Arabidopsis thaliana: one gene and its partner. The protein of the gene in region 1 interacts with the protein of each later gene in a pairwise test. Each region holds a gene or a part of one and is shown in the gene's direction. Other genes may lie near its edges. The genes, in order: GSTF6 and AT5G38550.

What was found.
Region 2: the proteins of GSTF6 (region 1) and AT5G38550 interact in a two-hybrid assay, tested with the Arabidopsis thaliana proteins (one large-scale study listed by BioGRID).

Annotation. Positions count from the first base shown.
Region 1 is NC_003070.9:656,782-669,007, reverse strand, and holds GSTF6 (glutathione S-transferase 6), read left to right. Parts: upstream 1-6,532; 5' UTR 6,533-6,816; coding exon 6,817-6,966; intron 6,967-7,058; coding exon 7,059-7,107; intron 7,108-7,217; coding exon 7,218-7,645; 3' UTR 7,646-7,920; downstream 7,921-12,226. Other genes in the region: AT1G02960 (kinetochore protein), read left to right, coding at 21-152, 263-395, 540-835, 926-1,051, 1,140-1,273, 1,367-1,467, 1,544-1,635, 1,727-1,857 and 1 more; GSTF4 (glutathione S-transferase F4), read left to right, coding at 2,552-2,657, 2,752-2,894, 3,098-3,146, 3,231-3,700; GSTF5 (glutathione S-transferase (class phi) 5), read left to right, coding at 4,731-4,803, 4,878-4,991, 5,106-5,248, 5,345-5,393, 5,463-5,929; GSTF7 (glutathione S-transferase 7), read left to right, coding at 9,303-9,452, 9,537-9,585, 9,692-10,122; LPA1 (tetratricopeptide repeat (TPR)-containing protein), read left to right, coding at 10,883-11,152, 11,513-11,616, 11,731-11,866, 11,950-12,181. UniProt on the Arabidopsis thaliana protein: Involved in camalexin biosynthesis by probably catalyzing the conjugation of GSH with indole-3-acetonitrile (IAN).
Region 2 is NC_003076.8:15,426,652-15,440,669, reverse strand, and holds AT5G38550 (Mannose-binding lectin superfamily protein), read left to right. Parts: upstream 1-4,818; 5' UTR 4,819-4,929; intron 4,930-5,182; 5' UTR 5,183-5,248; coding exon 5,249-5,458; intron 5,459-5,854; coding exon 5,855-6,292; intron 6,293-6,377; coding exon 6,378-6,800; intron 6,801-6,892; coding exon 6,893-7,360; coding exon of another isoform or gene 7,361-7,387; exon of another isoform or gene 7,388-7,459; coding exon 7,460-7,705; 3' UTR 7,706-7,889; downstream 7,890-14,018. Other genes in the region: PERK8 (Protein kinase superfamily protein), read right to left, coding at 1-826; AT5G38540 (Mannose-binding lectin superfamily protein), read left to right, coding at 10,249-10,452, 12,014-12,451, 12,541-12,966, 13,066-13,404.

The DNA of each region.
Region 1 (12,226 bases):
GAGAGAAATTTCCTTTTTAGCTACGGAAGATATCATCCTCTCTTGAAGATGTGGTCGAAGTTCCTGACTCCCCCGAGGAGAGTTATATTTCTTCTTCCAGAAGAACTGGATTAGCATGCATATCTGCTCAGGAAAATGGGTCAGATGATGAGGTTACCTTCTAATCTTGGAGTCCATTTCACTCATGCATCTTGATAAGTTCTTCAAATTGGTGACAGTATCCTCTACTTATGTTTTGAATGGTGATTGTTGTTGCCTTCAGATTACACATGATGAACAAGTGGCAACTTGGTCTGCTATAAGTAAAGAAACCAAGTCACTAATCCATTTGAATGGTGTTGCTTCAGTCGCATCATCCCATCTATCTGGCTTCAGAGCCAAGAAAAGTAGTAATGGTACTGTTTTATCCAAAACTCTTCTTGGTATTTTTTTACCGTACAAGTTAAAGAACGTTGCACCACGTATGAAAACTCAAAGAAACAGATCATGTATGCACGATTTTCTGAAATCTCTGAGTTGGGTTTCTAATGTATATGCAGGTCTCAAAGATCATGGGAGGCCAAAATTTTCATTTAACTCACATACTCATGGAGAAACGTCATCCAAGATAAGTGACATGGCTGAAATCTTTGAGCCTGATGTGGAGGATCAGGCTATAGAAGAGGATCCAATTATTGAATGCCCCAACAGTTTTGATGAAAGATCAGAAAACAGGCAGGGTGTTTCTGTTGCTGAGTCGAGAGAAGTTTTGCACGAGTGCACTAAAGATGCGGTACCCAAGCTTCAAGAAATTCCTCTAGATAAAATTAGACTGATAAAAAGAAGCTCTGAACTGGTATTATTGATTATACAGTGGATTAGCATTTGATTTGCTGCTTTGCTCTCAGACATCTGTTTCATTCGTTTGGCCTCCTTTCTGCTCCAGGACAGCAGACATGAAGCAAAAAGTCGGAAATTTACTCATAAGGGAAATTCATCTAACTTCCAAGATAGTGATACTGATGATGAACTTCCTGGACCTATGGATAGTGGATCATCAAGCGATGATGAGGTTTTATTCTTTTCCTTTCTTGTGATTTGGGTAATCTCCTTCTCCTCAGTTTACAGTCAAATTCAAATTATATTGTTCTGTGACATAGCCTAGTTATCAAAGCTCAGTGCCAAACATTTCCAACCAGAAGAAACAATTTGTTGGGGACCGGTTTGATGAAGCAATAAAAGCTTCCTCTTTGAGCAAAGAAGGTCTCTTGTTCGGTTCACCTAAATTATCTGGGTAATCAAACTCTCAACATCTTTTATGCACCACACTCTTAAAATCACACATCAGTTAACATGAAAACCCATTTTTGGTTGCATCAATTTGCAGTGGCTCTAGCCTGTATGGCAAGCTGCAACAGATCATGAAACAAGAAAAAGAGACGGAAATGGAAATCATGAGGAAATTGCAAAGCGGAATCGGAGAAGCAGGTAACTCTTTTTGTAACTCCCATATAAACAAAATCTAGTTCATACCTCTGTTACTCGTTCCAATTTCCCAACTCAGATTCATCGGGCTATGTTGATGTTAAAGTCATGTCAAGACACTTGGAGGGAAAGCTTGTCGTCTGCAAATGCTCTGTCATTGACCTCTCTGGGGTTTATCTCTCCATCTCTTTGACGCATCTGATAAACCTGCTCCTTTAATTAGACCCTTAAGCAATTGATTTAGTCACATTCGATTTTGTAGGACTCCCTATTACTCAAGAACACACAAGCTCTTGCGGCAAAAGAAACAGAAACAACAATTATTTTTAGTCCGAAAGTTTGTGCGGATGTTGATATCGAAATAGGGAACTTTATCCGAGTATATGCGCCATGGTCAGTTTTGATTCCACTCTTTAGACTCTTATCCCATGTCACTAAACTCTTTTGTGATATTTAGCTTTTCAATTTTCAACAGGAAGGAGTTGGAAGTGCAGAAAACCAATGATGTGATTATTTTGTCTTCATATTTCTCAAGTTTGTAATATAACTCACACAAATGTCAAGATGTGGAAAAAACTTGCAAATGATTTTATCAGTGTGTATAAAAACGATAATTAAAGCTCTCTGATTGATAACAATCATACTGATCAGAGCTTAAAGTGTTTTTTGATTTATCGTGTTTTCTTCTTTGGGTTTACTACTGATTAAAGGCGTTAATCAGTTCTCACAAATGATTCAACTCGTTTTAGTTATTTATACATGAACTGTTTGTTGGTTTGATTCCTGTCGTGTGCTTTGGTAAACCTCAAAGTAAAGCATAATCATAGTATTCGTCTTGTTTATTAATTAGCACTTAAAATAATGGAACAAAAAGGATAATAAAAGAACCAGAAAGGATAAATAATGAAATAAAACGGTAGATCCCTAGTTTACATTGTATCATTGGAACAATTCATCTCTCAATACACAAGAAAGGTGGACTCTTTACGTGGATGTCAAGGAAAAACAAAATGTTCCTCAGCTTTTGTATTGCAAAGAAAAAGCATATAACTAAGTTGGTATATATAATAGGGTTTATGGAGGATACATGCAGAAATTAAACAAGTGTATCTATATCGTATATATGGACTGCTTACAGATGGTGTTCAAGTTATTTCCAAACTGGAAACGTGAGGCAGAAGTTAAAAAGCTCGGTAAGATTAATTAATATATAGGTTTATAACAAACAAACAAAAATTAAGATAATTTTGATTTCAGTGAAATTTGTTCTATGATTCAAAGTTGCAGGTTACAAGGTTCATGGCGATCCTTTCTCCACCAACACAAGGCGTGTCCTCGCTGTTCTCCATGAGAAAAGACTCTCTTACGAGCCTATTACCGTCAAATTGCAAACCGGTGAACACAAAACCGAACCTTTCCTCTCTCTCAACGTAAGGAATGATATCGCAAAATCGAATGATTAGTAATTTCAGGATGAGATATTACACACCTAATTATAGATTGACTTTGTGCCGAATCATCTACATATACAAAAATTTGTTATATATGGTTAGGTTTTGATACTCACCTAGGGCTTGTCTTGGTTACTTGTCACCCAAGGATTTCGAGTTTTAACAATGTGTTATTGATGCAGCCATTTGGTCAAGTCCCTGTTTTTGAGGATGGAAGTGTTAAGCTGTATGGTGAGTTTAATCTTACACACTAATAACAACAACATGATAAACATTTGTTATACTTATATCTCTAATCAACTTTTCCCCCTCTAGAATCCCGAGCCATCACACAATACATCGCATATGTTCATAGCTCAAGAGGCACACAGCTTCTGAATCTTAGAAGTCACGAGACAATGGCAACTCTAACAATGTGGATGGAAATCGAAGCTCATCAGTTTGATCCACCCGCATCGAAACTCACTTGGGAACAAGTCATTAAGCCTATCTACGGTCTAGAGACTGACCAAACAATCGTCAAAGAGAACGAGGCTATTCTAGAGAAAGTTCTAAATATCTACGAGAAACGACTCGAAGAATCTAGATTCTTGGCTTGTAATAGCTTTACTTTGGTTGATCTTCATCACCTACCAAACATACAATACCTTTTGGGAACTCCAACGAAGAAATTGTTCGAAAAAAGATCTAAAGTGCGTAAGTGGGTGGATGAGATTACGAGTAGAGAGGCTTGGAAAATGGCATGTGATCAAGAGAAATCTTGGTTTAATAAGCCAAGGAACTAACTGAAAGCAGAAGTAATCTTTACGTGTGAATGTGTGTGTATGTGTATGTTGAGTTTGGGTCTTTGTTTGTAAGCTTGTGCGTGTTGTTTGTTGCCTTGCGAATCTTATTTTATGTTTGGTTAATATATGTTTCATGTAAATAAATAAAGAACAAAAAAAGCATTATTTAAACTAATTAGATAAATTCAGATAAGATTCTACGATTATGAAAATGCGAAAAGCAGATATAAATAATTCGATGCCAATTTTGAATTTATAGATCACTACACTCATGCATTCTTGTTATGTTAAGTTGCATTACTCCAAAACTACCAATATCTTCTGGAGTAACCAAATAGAAGGAGGGAATTTTAAAACAAGCTATATTCACACAGCCTCGGATGTGGTGCCTGAACATATTGGATTGGTTTTGATAATATTTCAATTATTTTCAATTCAAATAATAATAATAAAACTGAAAATAATAAAATCCAGTTTCATTGAATATTTGGGTATTCCTAGTACTAAATTAGTTAAATCAATAAAAATATATTTGAAAATTTTAAATCCGAAAATTTAAAAGGTAAAAAAATTATTTTATTTACTTAAAAACCTTGCAAACGAAAATATTTTGTATATAAAAAAAATAGTTTACATAATAAAAATATTTGCAAAAAACAATATAATTTAGTCTTAGTGTTAAATTTACTTGAGTGAAAAACAGTTAAACTTTATATACCTCAATTAGATAAGCTATTAAATCTATACCTCAATTTTTTTATTTTATTTTTTGGTTCAACGCTATATCCTACCTAATTAGATTGGCTAAATTGTATAAGCTAGTGCAAAAAGTTCATATAAGAACAAAAAACTGTAAAAGGAAAGAAATCTACAATTTCATGTAAAAAATCCAACTTATTAATTAACAAATTTTGAAAAGGAAATAAAGTAAATAATAATGGTTATGGATTCACCTTATCTAATTATAAATACATCTTTATATGCTCTATCCTCTATGAGTGTACTATAGAGAGTAGAGAGAGTAGAAAAAATGGGTTCCTCCATATTATTGGTTTTGTTTACTCTCATGGTTATGCTGTCCATTTCTTATGAACCACTCAAATGTAATTATCTTGAATTTTTTTTGTTTGCTTTTCTTCTTGTGCTATGGTTTTGAATATTCATAATTGCGTTGTAGGGATGGGCATAAACGCGAGCCATGTACCGGAAACTTGCTACCATCATTGTAACCAGACGTTCGAGAGTAGTCGCCAATGCTTTAAATGGTGTCAAGAATTAGCTCGTAAAGATGGTAATCATACTCATTTATATACTAATTAATGGGATGGAATAAAGAAGTTTTGATGGGTTTCTTAATTCTCCTCCTTCTTCATCGTATTACATGATGAAATATGTAAAATTGCAGAGTACAAGATTTATGGGTACCCTTACTCAACCAACACAAGGCGTGTCCTCGCCGTTCTTCATGAGAAAGGTCTCTCTTACGATCCCATCACCGTCAACTTGATAGCCGGTGACCAGAAGAAGCCGAGTTTTCTCGCTATCAATGTACTTTTCACATCTAAATATCTAACTCTGCTTCATGATTAATGGTTAGGTCTTAACTAGGGTTTCCATTTTATTGGTCTCTTCTTATTGATGCAGCCATTTGGTCAAGTCCCAGTTTTCCTAGACGGGGGTCTTAAGTTGACTGGTGAGTTTAAAACTACATTTTCAACTAATTAATGATCTAATGAATTTTGATATAATTTGTTTTCGTCAGAATCTCGAGCTATATCTGAATACATAGCGACTGTCCATAAATCAAGAGGCACACAACTTCTGAATTACAAAAGCTACAAAACAATGGGAACACAAAGAATGTGGATGGCTATCGAATCTTTTGAGTTTGATCCACTCACATCAACACTGACCTGGGAACAATCCATCAAGCCTATGTACGGTCTAAAGACGGACTATAAGGTTGTGAATGAAACCGAGGCGAAGCTAGAGAAGGTTCTAGATATATACGAAGAACGACTCAAAAATTCTAGCTTCTTGGCTAGTAACAGCTTCACAATGGCTGATCTTTATCACCTTCCTAATATACAATACCTTATGGACACACATACAAAGAGAATGTTTGTAAACCGGCCAAGCGTGCGCCGGTGGGTGGCTGAGATCACAGCTAGACCGGCTTGGAAGAGGGCATGTGATGTGAAGGCTTGGTACCATAAGAAGAAGAATTAATCTTATAATCTTGTGATGTACTTTCGGTGATTTCTTTAAGTTTGATGTTATGAATAAAAGGCAAAGCTTTTGCAAAAATCACTCTTTTTTTTGCCATAATGATTTCAAAATTCCAAAGAATAATATATACTTCAATATACATGTCACAAGATTAAATGTCAAAGTTGTTTATAATGAGCATTTTTGTGGATGTGGAAAATGTGAAAATTACTCTGTTCCTTTGAATGTTTCTATACGAAATTATAGTTAGGATTTAGTAATGTATTTCTCCATAATTATGCTAAATTTAGTTAGTTACTTCAATATGATTAAATACTTTATTGACCCCAAATTTGTAATTGTACCAGATTGTCAAAAGTGTGAAACCAAATTTTCTTTTCTTTTGATATTGTTTTGTTTCTTATTATCTCTCGTTCTATCGAATGATCTAACTCGAGCATCCAACGATCTAACTCGAGCATCTAACGATCCACGTGGACCCAACAACGTCGGTCAGAGTTTGACTAGTAGATGAAGGACTATTCTTGTGGTCGTTGTCACGCGGTGGCTGATATTTTCTCTTATTTTTATTTTATTTTAACTATTTTTTACGTTATATTTAAGTCTTGAACCAATAGAAACGACGAATCATACATTACTCAGCTTGACTTTGAAATAATCCTATAACAAAAGAGCATTCCAAGAATTTTATCCAAAAAACAAAATAAAAAAGAGTATTCAAGCTTGGTGGCGCCGTTTGTTTTTGGTTTATTCACTAAAGTTACTCTGTTTTAGTTGTATAAATACACACTCCCATTTGTGTATTTCTTTTCATCAATCACAAAGATCTCTCTACTTCAATAAATCTCCACCTTACTTTAAGAACAAGAAAAACACAGTATTAACAAATGGCAGGAATCAAAGTTTTCGGTCACCCAGCTTCCACAGCCACTAGAAGAGTTCTCATCGCTCTTCACGAGAAGAATGTCGACTTTGAATTCGTTCATGTCGAGCTCAAAGATGGTGAACACAAGAAAGAGCCTTTCATCCTTCGCAACGTGAGTACATAAAACATCTGTCAAGACAAAATATTATATTTCATCTAGATACTGAATCTTGGTCTTAACAATCTTGAATATTGTTTTTGCAGCCCTTTGGTAAAGTTCCAGCCTTTGAAGATGGAGACTTCAAGATTTTCGGTAAATACAAATATATATCATTATAGTCATGTTTACAAATTTTTGGTTTTATGATCATTGCAATAATAGAAAGCAGAAACACTCAAAAATGTTTTTTTTTTGGTGGGCAGAATCAAGAGCAATTACTCAATACATAGCTCATGAATTCTCAGACAAAGGAAACAACCTTCTCTCAACTGGCAAGGACATGGCGATCATAGCCATGGGCATTGAAATTGAGTCGCATGAGTTTGACCCAGTTGGTTCAAAGCTTGTTTGGGAGCAAGTCTTAAAGCCTTTGTATGGTATGACCACAGACAAAACCGTTGTTGAAGAAGAAGAGGCTAAGCTAGCCAAAGTCCTCGATGTTTACGAACACAGGCTTGGTGAGTCCAAGTATTTGGCTTCTGACCACTTCACTTTGGTCGATCTTCACACTATCCCTGTGATTCAATACTTACTTGGAACTCCAACTAAGAAACTCTTCGACGAGCGTCCACATGTGAGTGCTTGGGTTGCTGACATCACTTCAAGGCCTTCTGCTCAGAAGGTTCTTTAAGTGAATCTCAAACTATTTATCGATCAGAAGATGTAATAAAAGTGGCGATGACCTAATTGCCCAATTCTCATAAACTCTGTTTTTCTTTTTGTGTTTACTCTGTTTTTCTGCTGCCGAGTGTTTGATTTGAATGTAATCTTCGATAATGAGTCTTGATATAATAAAATATTTCTTATCTTAAAGTTTAACTACCAATTAATGTTGATCTCATTCTTCAAAGTTGACTATCATTCTCCTAAGTCTTGAACGTTGACTTCCAAATTAGGTCGCTCTGCTACTCATCAATCACTAATCTTCTTCCTTTCCCTAATCGATTCCAAACCTTCTGTGGTGATGGCAAGCTTCAAAGTCAACAATGTTATTCATATTTGTTTGAGCGTAACTGTCACCAAAAAAGGTTCCTAGATCAAAAAAGTTGAAAGTTAATTAGTTTCCGAAATAAAACAGAGGAACAAAAGGAAGCGTGTTTAAGATAAAATTAGGGTTTTCTTAGGAAAGCATATAAATAAATTGCATAGCTGTCGCAAAACCTCTGTTTACTCGAGTGCGAAGAAACGACGGAAATGGTTATTACCAGGAGACGGAGACCCTTTTCAATTCTCGCCGGAATTAGGATTCTCATTTCCTAGGTAGATTACTTGTATTCACGGAATGTAAGTCTTAACTAGGGTTTCCATTTAACTGGTCTTTTCTGCTCGAACGATCGTCTTTTAATCTCTAAACTCTTTACTGAAGTAGACCTATTTTGAACTATTTTTGTTTACTAATTTAGCGATTAGTCATCGACGACCTAGTAAACTTGTTATAACGAGGGTATATTATTACGTAACGATCAGTTGCTTATATTTGTTATATCTTATTAGGGTTTTTAGCCTCTTGACCTTACTCATGCAACTATTGATCTGATAAACATTTTTGAGTTTGATTTCGGGAAAATTTTGATATGTCTAGTCTTGCTCAGAGTCTCGAGCTATATCTGAATACATCTCGTCTGTCCATAGATCAAAAGGCTCATAACTTGTGAATTACGAAAGCTACAAAACAATGGGAACACAAACATTGTGAATGGATATTGAAACTTATGAGTTCGATCCACTCGCATCAATACTTACATGGGTATAATCCATTAAATCTAAAGACGGACTATAAGGTTGTGAATGCAAGCAAGGCGAAGCTAGAGAAGGTTCTAGATAGATTTATTACGAAGAACGATTCAAAAAGAATAGCTTCTTGACTAATAATAACTTCACATTGCCTCATCTCCTTGATTCAATGATCCAATTTGAACATCCAACGATCCATATGTTTTCAACAACGTCGGTCAACTTTGACTAGTATACATTAAAAGACTATTCTTGTTGTCTTATCCAGCCATGGTTGATATTTTCTCCGATTATATTGTTTTATAAGTTATATGAACAGTATATGAAAATCTTGAACCAATAGAAACGACGAATCATACGTTACTCAGCTTGACTATGAAATAACAAAGAGTATTCAAGCTTGGTGGCGCCGTTTGTTTTTTGTTTATTCACTAAGTTACTCTAATTTAGTTGTATAAATACACTCTCCCATTTGTGTATTTCTTTTCATCAACCACAAAGATCTCTCTACTTCAATAAATCTCCACCTTGCTTTAAGAACAAAGTCTTAACAAATGGCAGGAATCAAAGTTTTCGGTCACCCAGCTTCCACAGCCACTAGAAGAGTTCTCATCGCTCTTCACGAGAAGAATCTCGACTTTGAATTCGTTCATATCGAGCTCAAAGATGGTGAACACAAGAAAGAGCCTTTCATCTTCCGCAACGTGAGTAATATTTGTCAAAACAAAATATTGTTTCATTTAGATACTGAACCTTTAGTCTGAAAAATCTTGAATGTTGTTTTGCAGCCTTTTGGTAAAGTTCCAGCCTTTGAAGATGGAGACTTCAAGCTTTTCGGTAAGCAGCAAAACACTTAAATTTAGACCTAATCTCAAATTCTGTTTTTGACAATTGCAATTAAAGAAAGCAGAAACACTCAACTTTTTTAATGTTTTGTTGGCAGAATCAAGAGCAATCACTCAATACATAGCTCATTTTTACTCAGACAAAGGAAACCAACTTGTCTCCCTTGGCTCCAAGGACATTGCGGGCATAGCCATGGGCATTGAAATTGAATCGCATGAGTTTGACCCAGTTGGTTCAAAGCTTGTTTGGGAGCAAGTCTTAAAGCCTTTGTATGGTATGACCACAGACAAAACCGTTGTTGAAGAAGAAGAGGCTAAGCTAGCCAAGGTCCTCGATGTTTACGAACACAGGCTTGGTGAGTCCAAGTATTTGGCTTCTGATAAATTCACTTTGGTCGATCTTCACACTATCCCTGTGATTCAGTACTTGCTTGGTACACCAACTAAGAAACTCTTTGACGAGCGTCCACATGTCAGTGCTTGGGTTGCTGACATCACTTCTAGGCCTTCTGCTAAGAAGGTTCTTTAAGTGACTCACAAACTGTTAATCAGAAGATTGAATAAAGTGGCGATGACCTCATTGCCCTAATTCTCATAAACAATAAAAGTGGCGATGACCTAATTGCCAAATTCTCATACACTCTGTGATTTTTTTGTGTGTGTCTCCTCTGTTTTTTTTTTTTGGTTTGAATGTAATCTTCAATAATAATGAGTCTTGATATATAATAAAAATATATTTGGTAGCCTAAAGTTTAGCTACTAATAAGTAGTGTTGATCTCTTATGACCAAAAAAAAGAAAAGAAAATTAGTGTTGATCTCATTCTTGAAAGTTGACTTAATTATTCTAATTTTTGAAAGCTGACTTGAGACTTCATTTTTGCCATTGTAAGGAAGAAATTGACTGTTGACTTTTAATGCTTTGCAATTTAATTAGAATATTAAACTTCATAGTTAGACAGAATCACATTCAGTTATTAAAATATCACAACACTAACTCCAAGTTAGGTCTGCTACTCATCAATCACTAATCTTAACACCAACTCCAGCTTAGTTATGCTACTCATCAAATCACTAATCTTCTTCGTTTTCCTAATCGATTCCAAACCTTGTGTCATTGTGTGACAAAGTCAACAATGTTTTTTTCTTTGGGTCTAATTCGTACCAAATATAAGTTTCTAGATAATATTCAAAGAAGTTGGAAGTTAAATATTATTTCCGAAATAAAACAGAGGAAATAAAAAGCGGATAAAAGTTTTGTTTTTTTTCCGTAAGCGTAGAAGAAAATTGAATGGCTGTGGCTACAGCTCCGTCGCTAAACCGCCATTTCCCCCGCCGCATCTCGAACCTTTACTCGAGAGTTAAGCAACGAAGGCCATGGCTGCCACCAGGAGACGCGACCCTTTTCAATTCTCGCCGGAATTGGGATTCCCATCTGTTTGTTTACGCTTCCTCTTCTTCTTCTCCGTCGTCGTCGCCTCCGTCTCCAAATTCACCGACGGATGATCTCACGGCAGAGTTGTGCGTCAATACTGGTCTTGATCTCTTTAAGAGAGGACGGGTAAGTACTAGAGTTCGATTCGAATGGTTTTGTGGTCGTAGGTGAATATGTTTCAGTCGGTTTTGGGTTTTCTATGTCTTACTCTTTTTGGCTGCTCCTGTCTTCTATTGCGACGCTTGTATGATTATGTATAATGGGTAAGCCCTAAAATTTAGTTACTTTCCAGTCGCTAGTAATTTTAAAAGGGATACTTTTTGTCTGATCGTTGCTAGTTTCTTGATCTTAATGTTTGAAACTTGGAAACAAAATTAGCAATTCTCTGCATACGCTTGTACTAGTTATAATGTTGACACTTGGAGCTAGCAAAAGAGTCTTTGCTTGGAACAGATTTAGTTGATTTGTCATGTTGGATTCTTTCAGGTGAAAGATGCTCTTGTTCAGTTTGAAACTGCACTGAGTTTGGCTCCAAATCCTATTGAGTCACAAGCTGCTTACTATAACAAAGCATGTTGTCATGCTTACCGGTAAGAACCTCGAACCATGTACTAATGAAACTGTCTTATATCTACTGATTTGAAAGATCCTGATGAGATTATGTTTTCTTTCATTTCATCCTATTGTTTATCGATTTGAGGTAGGGGCGAAGGAAAAAAAGCTGTGGATTGCTTGCGAATTGCGTTGAGAGATTATAATCTGAAGTTTGCCACGATTCTTAACGATCCTGATTTAGCATCCTTTCGCGCATTACCCGAGTTTAAGGAGCTGCAAGAAGAGGTCTTGCACTCTCCTTTTGTATATCTTTTTCATATCCCAAGGAAAACTTTCTCATTGGTGAAAATTTCTTCCAATTGTTTCAGGCTAGGTTAGGCGGGGAAGATATTGGCGATAATTTCCGGAGAGATCTGAAACTTATCAGTGAAGTACGAGCACCGTTTCGTGGCGTTAGAAAATTCTTTTATTTTGCATTTGCAGCAGCAGCGGGTATCTCAATGTTCTTTACCGTACCAAGACTGGTTCAGGCAATTAGAGGCGGTGATGGTGCTCCAAATCTTCTGGAAACTACGGGAAATGCTGCAATTAACATTGGAGGTGAGTCATAGACACCACTTGAATCTTAAATTCCTTTTTTTCTCT
Region 2 (14,018 bases), on another chromosome or scaffold:
TTGTGTATCCAACAAAGGTTCCAGGGTCCTTTCGCTTTCGTTTCCGAGTGAACCACACACCCATCACAAAAAGGCTAAGAAAAACCAATCCCACAATCACTCCGATAGCTACAATACCTCCAGTACCAACTTCGCTTTTACCTGGTGAACTAGACGGCAAAGTGTTGTTTCCATTGTTTGAAGCTGGTCCAGTTGGTTTAGCAATTGGTTTCTCTCTGGGAACAACAGGTAATGGAGTTGGAGGAGGAGCTAACGTAGAAGGATCAGTAGGATTTGAAGACGGAGGAGAAGCAGAGGTAGCTGGAGGAGGAGGAGGAGATGTGGTTGTTGTTGGAGTTGGAGTTGACGGAGAAGGTTTAGGCGGTGAAGGTGTTTCTCCCGGTGGTGAAGGTGTTTCTCCCGGCGGTGAAGGAGAAGGTTTAGGAGGAGGATTTGTTGTTGTTGGTGCGGGAGGTGATGGAGAAGCATCAGGAGGCGGTGGAGGTGAGACAGTTTGCGGAGGAGCTGGTGGTGTTGTCGCCGGAGTTGAGGGAGGAGGGGAAGCAATCACCACAGGAGGTGGAGGGGAAGAAGCAACGGTGGGAGGAGGTGAAGTGATGACAGGAGGTGACGGTGGTGGAGAAGAAGACGGTGGAGGTGACGAAACAACCGGTGGTGGTGGTGATGATGATACAACCGGCGGCGGAGATTGCGGCGGAGAAGGAGGTGGTGTAACCGGAGGTGGAGCAGATGGAGTGGTGGGCTGAGTCTGTAACGGAGGAGGTGCAGTTGTTGAAGAATTTGACGACGGTGGTGATAAAATCGGTAAAGGAGGAACCAAACTCATTTCTATATCGAATACGAATCTGAAGCAGCAAACTTTCTTCTAACACAGTCGTTATCGATCCATTTAAACTCCAAAAATTGAAGCTTTGTGAACAAACAAACCCTAATTCCACAAATCGGATCAAAATCAACCTAAATTACGCAACCTGAAGTCAAACCTACTAAAATCAACCTAAATTCCCAAAATCTCCAATCACTAGCCCTAGAATTCCAAACCCAGATGGAAAAACTCGAGCTTTAAGCTCATATGCAGCTACACACGAAACTCAGAGCAGACCCAGATTAATAAACACTAGAAAGTTCCAAACTTTGAAGCTTTTTTCACTCGGAAGATTCGAAATTGGAGCAAGAATCGAGAAGGTAAGTGAGATTGAGAAATGGAGAAGGGAATGTGGTGAAAGGGAAGAGCGTGAGTCTTGTCTGAAGAAACGTGGAGGCAACTCTGTCTCTCTGGTCAGAGATATTTGACAGAGCGATTTACGCTTATGAGAGAGTCAGACATGTGCGGAAGAAAAAGAAGAACTTTTTCGAGTGTTGTTTCTTTTCTTATCATAGCATTGTTTCGTCTTTTTATTCATTGACTTGAGTTTCGTTTTCACAAATTATTCTCACATCATAACCACATAAAATGCCACGCGGTTTTTTTTTTTTTGTACGTTGTAAAATTCAAGAAAACTTTATTGCATAAAGGAGTTTTACTATTTTCACGAGGAATGATTTAAAAATGGAAAGTTAAAAAGTGGGTATGGGTGGAAAAGGAATAATAAAAGAGAGAAAAAAGTGTTTATGGTAATTTAGTAAATTAACAAGGAAAAATGTCTATGGTGTACATGTGCACTCTAATCATGGTTGATGTTTGAAAGTTTGTGCGCATGTTTGTTCCCTAAATTTGCTCTTTTTAATTATTGGATATTGGAGTGTTTTACTTGACTAATTACCGACGTGTACACGGTTATTAAGGTTTTAAAGTAGTGTGGGAGAACAACACTCTTGAGTTAAAAAGAAGATTAAAATGTTCAAGATTAGGCTGCAAGCAAATTAAATGCACATGCGTAGTTCGCATACGAGTAATTTAGTGGAATCCTGTAATTAGTGATAGTGTCTTATGACCATAGATACTCGGTTTAGCTTAGGTTCCAATTGGTTTTCTTTTTTTGGTCATATTTTTTTTCTTTTCCTATTGATGTTAAGTAATGTGAATGTTCGAGTTTGTATCTTGTACGATCTTATCGCTATTGAATATCTTGTGAAGTAGAGTTTTCACTCATTCGTAGGTCACTGAGATTAACTCACAAAAAAATTGGTGTAGCAGAGATGTTGATATGTTTTGGAAAGAATCTAAGTGCCTAGATCCTTGCTAAATAGGATTTTATCTCAAAGCATATATTCTATGTTTTATGGATGAATTAAACTTGCATATATACTTGACACGAGGTGATTGGCTCATATCATGGCTATTAAGGTTTTGAAGTAGTGTGGGAGGACACACTGAGTTTCAAAGATGATTAAAGTGTTCAAGATTAGACTTCAAGCAAATGCACATGCTTAGTTTGGATATAGAATATGGGCTTACGTATCTATAGATGGGCTTAAGTTGGGTTTCATGTGACGGTCTCATGTATGGATATATATATATGAGGCATGTTTGCCCTAATGTGAATCAGAGAGTTTTCCCTATCGTTTTCCTCGTTTATAATTGCATTTTTCATCGTTACTATTCGTTAAATATTTTAATTTTTTTAATTAAAATATCTTTGCAGTTATGTCTTCTTACAAAGTGTCTTTTCTCCATATTTATTTGTATTTTCCTTATCACAATTATTTCTTTCTAAAAATTAAATATTTTACAAATATTTGTGTCAATTTAATTGTTTATATCTTCTGAACTCTATATACTTTGTTTACCAAATATTCAATCTTCTGACAATTGTTTTTTTAAAGATGATTGATGGTCCAAGATTAAACCCGACCCGGACAGTGAACCCGACTACCTTCTCGATTATTGGGTCATCGGGTTAACCAGGTTGGACCATAAGTCAATTAATTAAAATTTATTTAATAAATTTAATATTAATAAGATTTTAGAGTTCTTATAAATTAAAAAATAAAAATAATCATGTTTATAAAATATAAAATCAGATTATGTTTAATAAAATATAAAATCATTTATACCAAAAAATAATAATAAAAAAAATAAATAATATATATATATATAATCAAACAATAATAATAAAGTGATTAAATTTTTTAAATCCAACTAAACGTCTAATACCATAACAAATATAGTAGTAGATCACCAATGACGGAAATAAACTAGTAAAACATCGTGAATTTACACAACTAATATCGGGTGTCTCACTCACCATTCGTTTCATTTTTAAGGCGGCATTGTAAAGTCTTCGTCAAAATGTAAACCATAAAATGAGTTTACGAACTGAAAAGATTTCTAAAAATGATTGAATAAAGTCTAAAATCTCATATTATATTCCAAAATAAAGAGAATATTTTAAAACCCACACCCGACCGGTTCACCGGATCATAGGTTAATAGTGAGTTTTTGTGGGTTTTTTTGATTTTGAACTTGTCGGGTTTTAGCACTAAACCTAAATCAGAAAAATGTTTGGGTCACGGTTCAACCGGTCGGACCGAGTGTGAAAACACTGACCACTGGGTTTTTCTATTTAAAAATAAGTTGAGAGTTTTAAAATGGATAAGTCTAAACTTGAGGGTTTTTTCATTAAAATTTATTTTTCTAAAATAACAACAACAATTTATAATATTCATCATTTTGAGTTTGATTTATTGTTTGAGAAATATTGTATAAACAAATTTAAAATATTTTTCTTCATGAAATCGCGAGAAAAGATATGTTTGAGTTTTATTAATAATAAAAATAATCAGATCATGTTTAACAAAATATAAAGTCTAACAATAATAAGAAAGTGATTAAAATTTATAAATCTAACTAAAACACGGTAAAAAAATACTAAGATAGTAGGATAGTGAATACGAAGAACTTAAAAAAGTTTTGAAATAATTCAATAATGAACAGTGAATACACTAAAACTCTATCTTTTTGTCCAAAATCAAATATATATATTTTTAAACGAATACCCGACCAGTTTACCAGATCACAAGTTAGTGCCAAATTTTTGTGGATTTTTGCGCTTTTTAAATTGTCGGATATTAACAGTAAACTCAAACCCGATAAATATCTGTAACACTGGTTAACCAGTAGGATTGGACGTGCAGATTTTTTTTTTCTTTTTTTGAATGAATGACCAATGCTGAAGCTTTACGGTTTGGTTGCAAACCAGAGTTGCAGTCCATCTCTCATGGAGGTTGAACCCATTTGAAGATATATATAGAAGCCGATTCCGAACTGTCCGGTCAATCACTTGAATTATTACCGATGCAGAGATGGGAAGCTCACCATGTCTTCTTCGATTTCTTTCCGTCCAAATTGAATGGACTGTCGCTTTAAATATACGTAGCGTAAAATGAATTGATGCGTCTTCGAGAACTGAGAAGTGGAGACAATACTTAGCAAAGCAGAGTAATCCAAAGTAAAATCTTGCATGAGAATTCGCTTGGCAAGATGTTCCCAGATTTGAGCCGAGAATGTGCAGCTGAAAAACAAATGATCCCTTGTCTCAAATGGAACTTGACAAAACACACATGTTGGATTGAGATTCGATGACCAAGAGCACATTTGATCACATGTCACGTTGAAGTTGGTTTTATGTTTCTAAAAATAATGCCAAACAATAAATGCTCGAAACTGAAGTCCACCTACAAGTTTTACGAGTAGGTTTGTCATATCATAAAAAACAAAATCTACGCTGTCGATGAGATGCAATCATGCAAGGTCGTTTTAAAATAATCGTTTGTTTGTGGAAGACGTACTTTAGGTAGTCTTTGAATAATTATTTCACAACTAGTTTATATTTTCACAAATTTAATATTTAATCTTGCAACCAGCAGCCTCATATATAACAATATAAATATACATTTTAGAAAAATGGCCAAAACTTGTATATATGAAAAAAGCCAAGTCCATCGCTAAACTTACTGATCAGCATAGCAGTCTGTTCATCTTCAGAGGTCAGCTCTTTTCTCTTTCCCTCATAAGCATGCTTACTTCTTATTCGCACCAATGTTTTAACCTTAAATAAGATCTTATCGAAATCTATTATTTATGTGAACGTAATGAGCATAGTTTTAGATATCCTCTTACAGTAGTTCCGTTTCTGCAATTGGTGATCTTAAATATTGTGTTGGTTCTTCGCTTGACAATATGTTTTGTTTTTTTAATATTCCCAATTTAATTAAGGAACACATGTGGATATTGATGCAGATTATTGTACTAGGAAACACAAGAACCACTTCATATCCAGCTGAATATTGATAACATCAGTTCAAGATGATCCAAAAGTTGGGAGCGAAAGGAATCAAGTCAGATGAACGTAATCAGCGGGAGTGGGATGATGGATCTGAACATGATGATGTAACAAAGATATACGTACGAGGTGGTCGTGAAGGAATAAGATCCATTTATTTCAACTATGTGAAGAATGGAAAACCCAAAGATGGATCAATCCATGGTTACTTTGACTCTGGTTTCACACAAACGGTATGTTCTGGAACATATACGGTATTCTAAAAATCGGCGGCTACCTATGCGTCTACAAGGCCAAATCACATAAACATTTTGATATTATATTGGCAATATCCGTCAAAAGAAAAGTCAATGTTATTTTGATGTAGATCTGATAAGGCTGCCGATTAATTTAGTTTTTTTTTTTTTAATTTTCTATTTGCTTTTTAATTCATTTTTAAAAGGGAAAATTATCCTTTAACGGTAAAATGTAAGTAGTAAAAGTTTACTCTAAGTTCTTTTAAAGTCTATAATTAGCAATTCTCGTTCATCGTCTAGAAAATCAACATATTCCTTAACTCATTTTATATTGAGGTGAAGTTGATATATAATGCTGACTTTGTGGTATTTGTATTTTCACTAATTATGCAGTTTGAGATTAACCATCTACGAGGTGAATATCTTGAATCTGTTGACGCTTACTACGACAAAAAGTCCTACGGTATGCAAGCAATTCAATTCAAAACTAACTTCAGGACTTCTGAACTGATGGGGTATAGTTATGAGTGTACTATGTTTACGCTAGCCGTCCAAGGAAAGAAGATCATTGGATTTCATGGATCTAATTATGTACATATATTATCTCTTGGAGCTTACTTCATTTCCATTGCTCCTACGAGATTGGAAGTGAAAGGTAGTAAGGGAAGCAAGAAGTGGGACGATGGATTTGACCATGAAAATGTATCAAAGATCGAGGTACTAGGTGGTTTTGAAGGCATACTGTACATCAAAGTTGACTATATCAAGAATGGAAAACTAGAAACTGGATTAGTCCATGGTCACTCTGGTGGTGATGGTTTTTTACAGAAGGTATGTAGCTATTAATTATAACTATAGGTTCATTTATTTGAGTATATTATTAAATCTTGTAGTAAACGTTTAATCAAATTTTTAGATGGAGATTAACCAGTCAAAGAACGAATATCTAGTATATGTTGAAGGTTACTACGATGATGCTTCTGAAACCATTCAAGGGCTTCATTTCCAAACTAACCTCAACAATCCTGTTATGATGGGGTATAAAAAGGGCAGGAAGTTTTTACTTGCATCCAATGGAAATAAGATCATTGGGTTTCATGGATATGCCGACAAAAGCCTAAACTCTCTTGGAGCATATTTCAGTACGACCACTCCTAATAAACTGGAATGCCAAGGTGATCGTAAAGGACTGCCTTGGGATGATGGTTGTAATTATGACGGCGTAAAAAAGGTGTATGTCGATAGTATAAGTGATATAGATAGTGTCAGGTTTGAGTACGATAATGGCGGAAAAGTGGAAAAGACTCCGTACCGGCGTGATGTTACAAATGAGAAGGAGGTCATGATTCTTTAAATCTAGTAACGTAAAATTTCATTGATACTATATATTGGTTCTTTAGGCGCTTATACGAAGTTGTTTTCTGATTGCAGTTTGTGCTTGACTATCCAAATGAGTTTATCACGTCTGTGGAGGGGACCTTAGCAACTCCGACTAATTTTGACATTACGTGGATTCTCTCACTGACATTCAAAACATCAAAAGGGAGAACCTCTCCAACATTTGGATCATCGTCTCCTGGTAGAAAATTTGTGCTGGAGAAGAATGGTAGCGCTCTTGTTGGGTTCCATGGATATATTGGTCCTGGTTATAATATTAAAGCTCTTGGAGCATATTATCGCCCGATTCCTCCTACTCCTGATGTGAAAAGACTAGAAGCACAAGGTGGTGATGGAGGAGCTTCTTGGGATGATGGTGGTACTTTCAACAGTGTTAGAAAGATCTACATTGGACTAGGCAAAAACGTTGTAGGCTTTGTCAAGTTTTTGTACTACAAAAACGCTCGTGTTGTCATCGGAGATGATCATGGCAACAAGACCCTTTCATCTGATCTCCTAGAGGTCACTGATTCAATTTCCATAATTTAAAGTTCTAGATTTCTATCGTACTTGGTCAACTTATTATCATTCTCGATGTATTTTTTTTTTCTTGTTTTGCAGTTCTTGTTGGATCCGTTTGAACATATCATATCAGTGGAGGGTACTTATGATGATACATCTGGAGGTATAACCATGCTTAGGTTCGAGACCAACTTACAAAAATCTCCATACTTTGGATTTGGTACAACATCAAACTTCTTGCTTCACAAGGATAATCACCAGATCGTTGGATTCCATGGAAAATCCAGTAACATGCTTCATCAACTTGGGGTCCACGTTATACCCAACGGTTTTAAATTTATTTAATAACGTTCTCTTACTTTTTCTTTTAATAAGTCATGTTTTAATGACATCACATCTTCAACTATCACAATATAATTTTCTTCTCCTAACATTTAAGCTCTGATACTTCTCAGCAAGTGTTGATTTTCTTACCCAAAATGCAAAAACACATTGTCCCAAATTCGTCTTACGGTTTGGTTCCATAATTTACATTTATGAGCTAAATCTATATACACACATACATGTAGAAATTTTGGCAATGCGTGTTATACATAGAGCTGTCAATTGGGCAGGACGTCCATGGGCTTGCCCAGTCCAAATGCATATGGGCGGCCTATATTCCGGACTAAAAAAAAATGGTCTAATTGGGCATATTACCAGTTTTGTCCATGGACAATATGGGCTTGACCGTATGAACAATGGGCTGCCCATGGGCATGAATTGAGTCAATAGACATGTCTTCATTTTAATCATATTTTTATAATTTTAATTACAATTACAACTAAATAATTTTCAAATTATATATTTTACATTATAAGTTTCTATTTTTATGAAAATTTTAAATTTTAATAAATTATTTCTTATTAAATTATTTACGGTTTTGAAGGAAAAATAGTATTCCACAATTTTTTGGAATACGCAAATTTTCGATTACGGTTTTGACGGGAAAAATACAATTCTCCGATTTTATAATTTTGACGGAAAAACGCAATTCTCTAATTTTACGGTTTTCACGGAAAAACGCAATTCTCTAATTTTACGGTTTTGGCGGGAAAACGCAATTCCATAATTTTTCCGCCAAAATCGTGATTTTATTGTATTGGTAAGAAAAACACAATTTTACCGTTTTGTCGGAAAAATGCAAGTCTCCGATTTTTACAATTTTTGCGGAAAAATACAATTTTTGAATTTTTCTTTAAAATCATGATTTTTGATTTATCAATAATAACAATAATAAAATGGGCTGATCATTATGGACATGGTCTTTATTGGGCATGGACATTTTCAGACCATTGTCCATTATGGACCGTCCAACTTGGCCCATAAAAAAAACTGTCTGTACGGACACGCCCAATGATCTTTGGACGGACCATTTGACAGCTCTATTTATACAGTAAAAAGTAATTTTCGTACGTTTCTACTTAGAAAATTTAGTGTTACTGTTTTAATATAATTCCAAACATTGTTTTTTTCCATATTTGGAAGCATCTTCTACTTTTTAGACCACATCAACCAACTGCATTTCAGAATACTGATAACAAGTGGTTAGATTGATAGAAAAAAACAAAAATAAAAAAAAACAATTGCAAGATTGCTCATTTAATTTTTCAATCTTGGCGATGGCAATTTCTCACATAATAATAAACAAATAAAGTAATAAACTATAAAGAGTTGGAAAAAAAAAGCAATGTATAATCCATTTCTATTTTATTAATCCGGCAGGCGTAAATTATTGTCTCGCCCCATGACATAACCGATCAACAAAGACTAGGAGGTAATGGTCCATGAGATATACTTTATAAAATATGAGTATATGACTCTGATTTGGTCTAAAATTGCATGATAAAAAATAATTATATTTTTGTTGGCAAAAATCAAAATTGTTATTGCGTATATTTAAAAAAGCTATAGAAGTTTTAATATACTTTTTAGTCTTATTTTTTTTAAACTTTTATTGTGTAATATATTGTTAATGTTTCTAATTAAAATTATTAAGAAAAATTCTCGCAATAAAGCGTAAAAAACAAAAAAAATCGCAATGTTTTTTTTATATATATACAAGATAGAATATATAACTTTTTTGATTTTAGTAAAAAAAATTTGTAAAATAAAAAGTTAAATGTTTTTTAATATAGAAACGACCCCTGTTTTAATTGGAGTCTAGGTCTAAAAAATCTATTCTATTATGTCGATAGAAAAATGTTCGGGTTGAAATATTACTTTTGTTTGTTAAGTTTTACGAGTAGGTTTGTCATCATAAAAAACAAAGTCTACGCTGTCGATGAGATGCAATCATGCAAGGTCGTCTTAAATAATCGTTTGTTTGTGGAAGACGTACTTTTGGTCGTCTTTGAATAATTATTTAACAATTAGTTTATATTTTCACAAATTTAATATTTAATCTTGCAACCAGCAGCCTCATATATAATAATATCAATATCCATTTTTGAAAAATGACCAAAACTTGTATATATGAAAAACACAAGTCCATCGCTAAACTTACGGAAGTCTGTTCATCTTCAGAGGTCAGCCCTTTTCTCTCTCTCCCATAAGCATGCTTACTCTTTATTCGCACTAATGTTTTAACTTTAACCTTAAGTGAGATCTTATCAAATCTATCACTGTAAACGTAATGAGCTATATATTTAAAGTTGTAGAAATTTAAATATCCCTTTATGTTAACTAATCCATGGTAGTATAATCAATTGGTTTTTCTTCCTTCTAGTTTAGATATTGTGTTGGTTCTTCCCAACTTAAGGAACACATGCATGTGGTACTGATGCAGATTACTGAATAGGAAAAACAATACACCTTCATACCCAGCTGAAGATTGATATTAGTTCAAGATGATCATAAAGTTGGGAGCGAAAGGAATCAAGTTAGATGAACGTCGTCTGTGGGATGATGGTTCTGACCATGATGACGTAACAAAGATATACGTAAAAGGGGGTCCCCAAGGCATAGGATCCTTTTATTTCAACTATGTGAAGAGTGGAAATCCAAAAGATGGATCAATCCATGGTTTCTTTAACTATGGTTTCACACAAACGGTATGTCTACGCGGCCAAAATCACATAGAAATTTTAATATTCGCAAATACCCAAAAGAAAAGTTTTAGTTTTTGCTATTTTTATTTGCTTTTAATTTACTTTTAAAATAGGGTAAACTATTCTTAAAGGTAAAAAAATGTATGGTTAACATTTATACGAATTTTATATATAATAGAAAATTCAAGGGCTAGATCCTTTCCAGCTCCGGATTGAACAATACTAATTTAGACTCATTTAGTGCATGATTGGTTGGGCTTTAAGTCTGACTTACAACCTTATTTTTTTTTAAAGCGTTGATTACAAACCAATCGTGTTATACCTTTATTTTTAAACTTACAGTCCAAATTTTTTTTATTTTTTTTTTAAGGCTGTAGTAGAGTAATTTCTCAAAGCCCTATTTTCTTGGCTGTAGAAATTTTAATTCATTAGATAAATACAAAAAATTAAATTATCAACATAAATATATAACAAAATTAATCTATGGAATATGTAAAATTTAGATTTATTTTATTAAGAATTCATAGGATTTTTTTTATTTTTATATCAGCATAATATATATATTTAAATTAGTAATACAAGGGATTTTATTTACTATAAAAATAAACTCTTATTACAATTATTATATTTATTAATCCATTTTTTATAAATATTTAAAGTTCAAAACTTACAGCAATAATTTTACAGCAATAACAGTTACAGCTACAACCAACACAGCTACAGCAAAATCTCTACAGCAAAAATTCTAGAGTTACAGCCCAACCAATCACCCATTTAAGTCCATATTAGAAATTTACGTTCATCTCTTAGAAGATCAATATAAGTAAAACCTCTATAAATTAATAATGTCGGGACTCGGAACCAAAATATTAATAAATATTAATTTATAGAGATATTTACTTTAAGTTTTTTTTTAAAATTTAAGAAAAATGTTAATTGAGAGAATTGGATACACATAAAATTAATAATTTTGATATCTTATATTTGTGTAGTATTGTATTTGAAAATTTAATATTTCAAAAAACTCCTTTGAGAATGAATCCCAAAGACTATAGTTGAATTCATTTAGATAATTTATATATGTATAAATTTATCAACTATCGTATTTTTAAAGTCTATAAAACTATTAAAATGAAACTGATGCATATTAAGCATTTCGAAACTAATAAAAAAATTATGACTACTTTTTATTACGATTATTATAAACATAACGTAACAATTGTTTGATACACAAACCCTAACAAAAATTCAATGTTTAACATACCATAAACCATATATTATATATTATTTTATATATATATATATATATATATATATATATGATTATTAATTTATGTGTTATTAGGACCATATTTTTATATAAGATTTTTGAAAAGTATTATTATTTTATCGAGTTTTGTTAATATTCACAGTGGTACAACATGATTTGTTAATTTATTGTGTATATTAATTTATAGAGTATTGATTAATAGAGGTTTACTCTATTCCCTAACTTATTTAATTTGAGGTGATGTTGATATATAATGCTGACTCTGTGGTATTTTTATTCTCACTATTTTTGCAGTTTGAGATAAACCATCTACAAGATGAACATCTTGAATCTGTTGACGCTTACTACAACAAAAAGTCTTATGGTTTGCAAGCAATTCAATTCAAAACCAATTTCAGGACCTCTGAACTGATGGGGTATAGTTATGAGTGTACCATGTTTACGCTAGCCGTCAAAGGAAAGAAGATCATTGGGTTTCATGGATCTGATAATGTACATATATACTCTCTTGGAGCTTACTTCACTTCCATTACTCCTACGAGATTGGAAGTGAAAGGTGGTATGGGAGGCAAGAAGTGGGAGGATGGATTCGACCATGACAATGTATCAAAGATCCAAGTGCTAGGTGGTTTTGAAGGCATACTGTACATCAAAGTTGACTATATCAAGAATGGAAAACTAGAAACTGGATTAATCCATGGTGACTCTGGTGGTGATGGTTTTTTACAGAAGGTACGTAGCTATTAATTATAACTATAGGTTCATTTATTTGAGTATATATATTATTAAATCTTGTAGTAAACGCTTTATCAAATTTTCAGATGGAGATTAACCAGTCAAAGAACGAATATCTAGTATATGTTGAAGGTTACTACGATGATGCTTCTGAAACCATTCAAGGGCTTCATTTCCAAACTAACCTCAACAATCCTGTTATGATGGGGTATAAAAAGGGCAGGAAGTTTTTACTTGCATCCAATGGAAATAAGATCATTGGGTTTCATGGATATGCCGACAAAAGTCTAAACTCTCTTGGAGCATATTTCAGTAGGGCCACTCCTAACAAATTGGAATGCCAAGGTGATTGTAGAGGAATGTCTTGGGATGATGGTTGTAATTATGACGGAGTTAGAAAGGTGTTCGTCGATGGTATAGGTAACGAAATATATACTGTCAGGTTTGAGTACGATAATGGCGGAAAAGTGGAAAAGACACCGTATCGACGTGATGTTAAAAATGAGAAGGAGGTCATGATTCTTTAAACTTTATTACGTAAAAATTCATCGACAATGAATATTTAAATATGGGTTCTTGAGGCGCTTATACAAAACATTTTGTGATTGCAGTTTGTGCTTGATTATCCAAATGAATTTATCACGTCTGTGGAGGGGACCTTAGCAGCTCCGAAAAGTGTTAACATCACGTGGATTACGTCATTGACATTCAAAACATCAAAAAAGAGAAGCTCTCCAACATTTGGATCAGCTAGTAGTAGAAAATTTGTGCTGGAGAAGAATGGTAGTCCTCTTGTTGGGTTCCATGGATATAATAGTGTTGGGAATACTCTTAATTCTCTTGGAGCATATTATCGCCCGATTCCTCCTACTCCTGATGTGGAGAAACTAAAAGCACAAGGTGGTGTGGAGGAGCTTCTTGGGATGATGGTGGTACTTTCAACAGTGTAAGAAAGATCTACATTGGACTAAACGAAAATGTTGTAGGCTTTGTCAAGTTTATGTACTACAAAAGCACTCGTGTTGTCATCGGAGATGATCATGGCAACAAGACCACGATATCTGAAGACCAAGAGGTCACTGATACAATTTCCGTAATATATAGTACTTGGTCAACTTATTATCATTCTCAATGTATTTCTTTTTCTTGTTTTGCAGTTCGAGTTGGATCCTCTTGAACGTATCACATCAGTGGAGGGTACTTATGATGATAAAATCGGAGGTATAACCATGCTTAGGTTCAAGACCAACAAAAAAGACTCTCCGTACTTTGGATTCGGTACATTACCAAGCTTCGTGCTTCACAAGGATAATCACCAGATCGTTGGGTTCCATGGAAAATCCAGTAACATGCTTCATCAACTTGGGGTCCATGTTCTACCCAATGGTTTTAAATTTGTTTCTTAAGGATCTCGTACCCTTTTTTTTACTCTACTACATGTGTTTTCTCATTTTAATGTGTGGCGTGTGTGTCTTCCGATAATCTCATGTTATAAGTCATGTTTTAATGACATCGCATCTTCAACTCACTTCTACGTGTTGCGTCTTCCTATGTTGTATGTCTT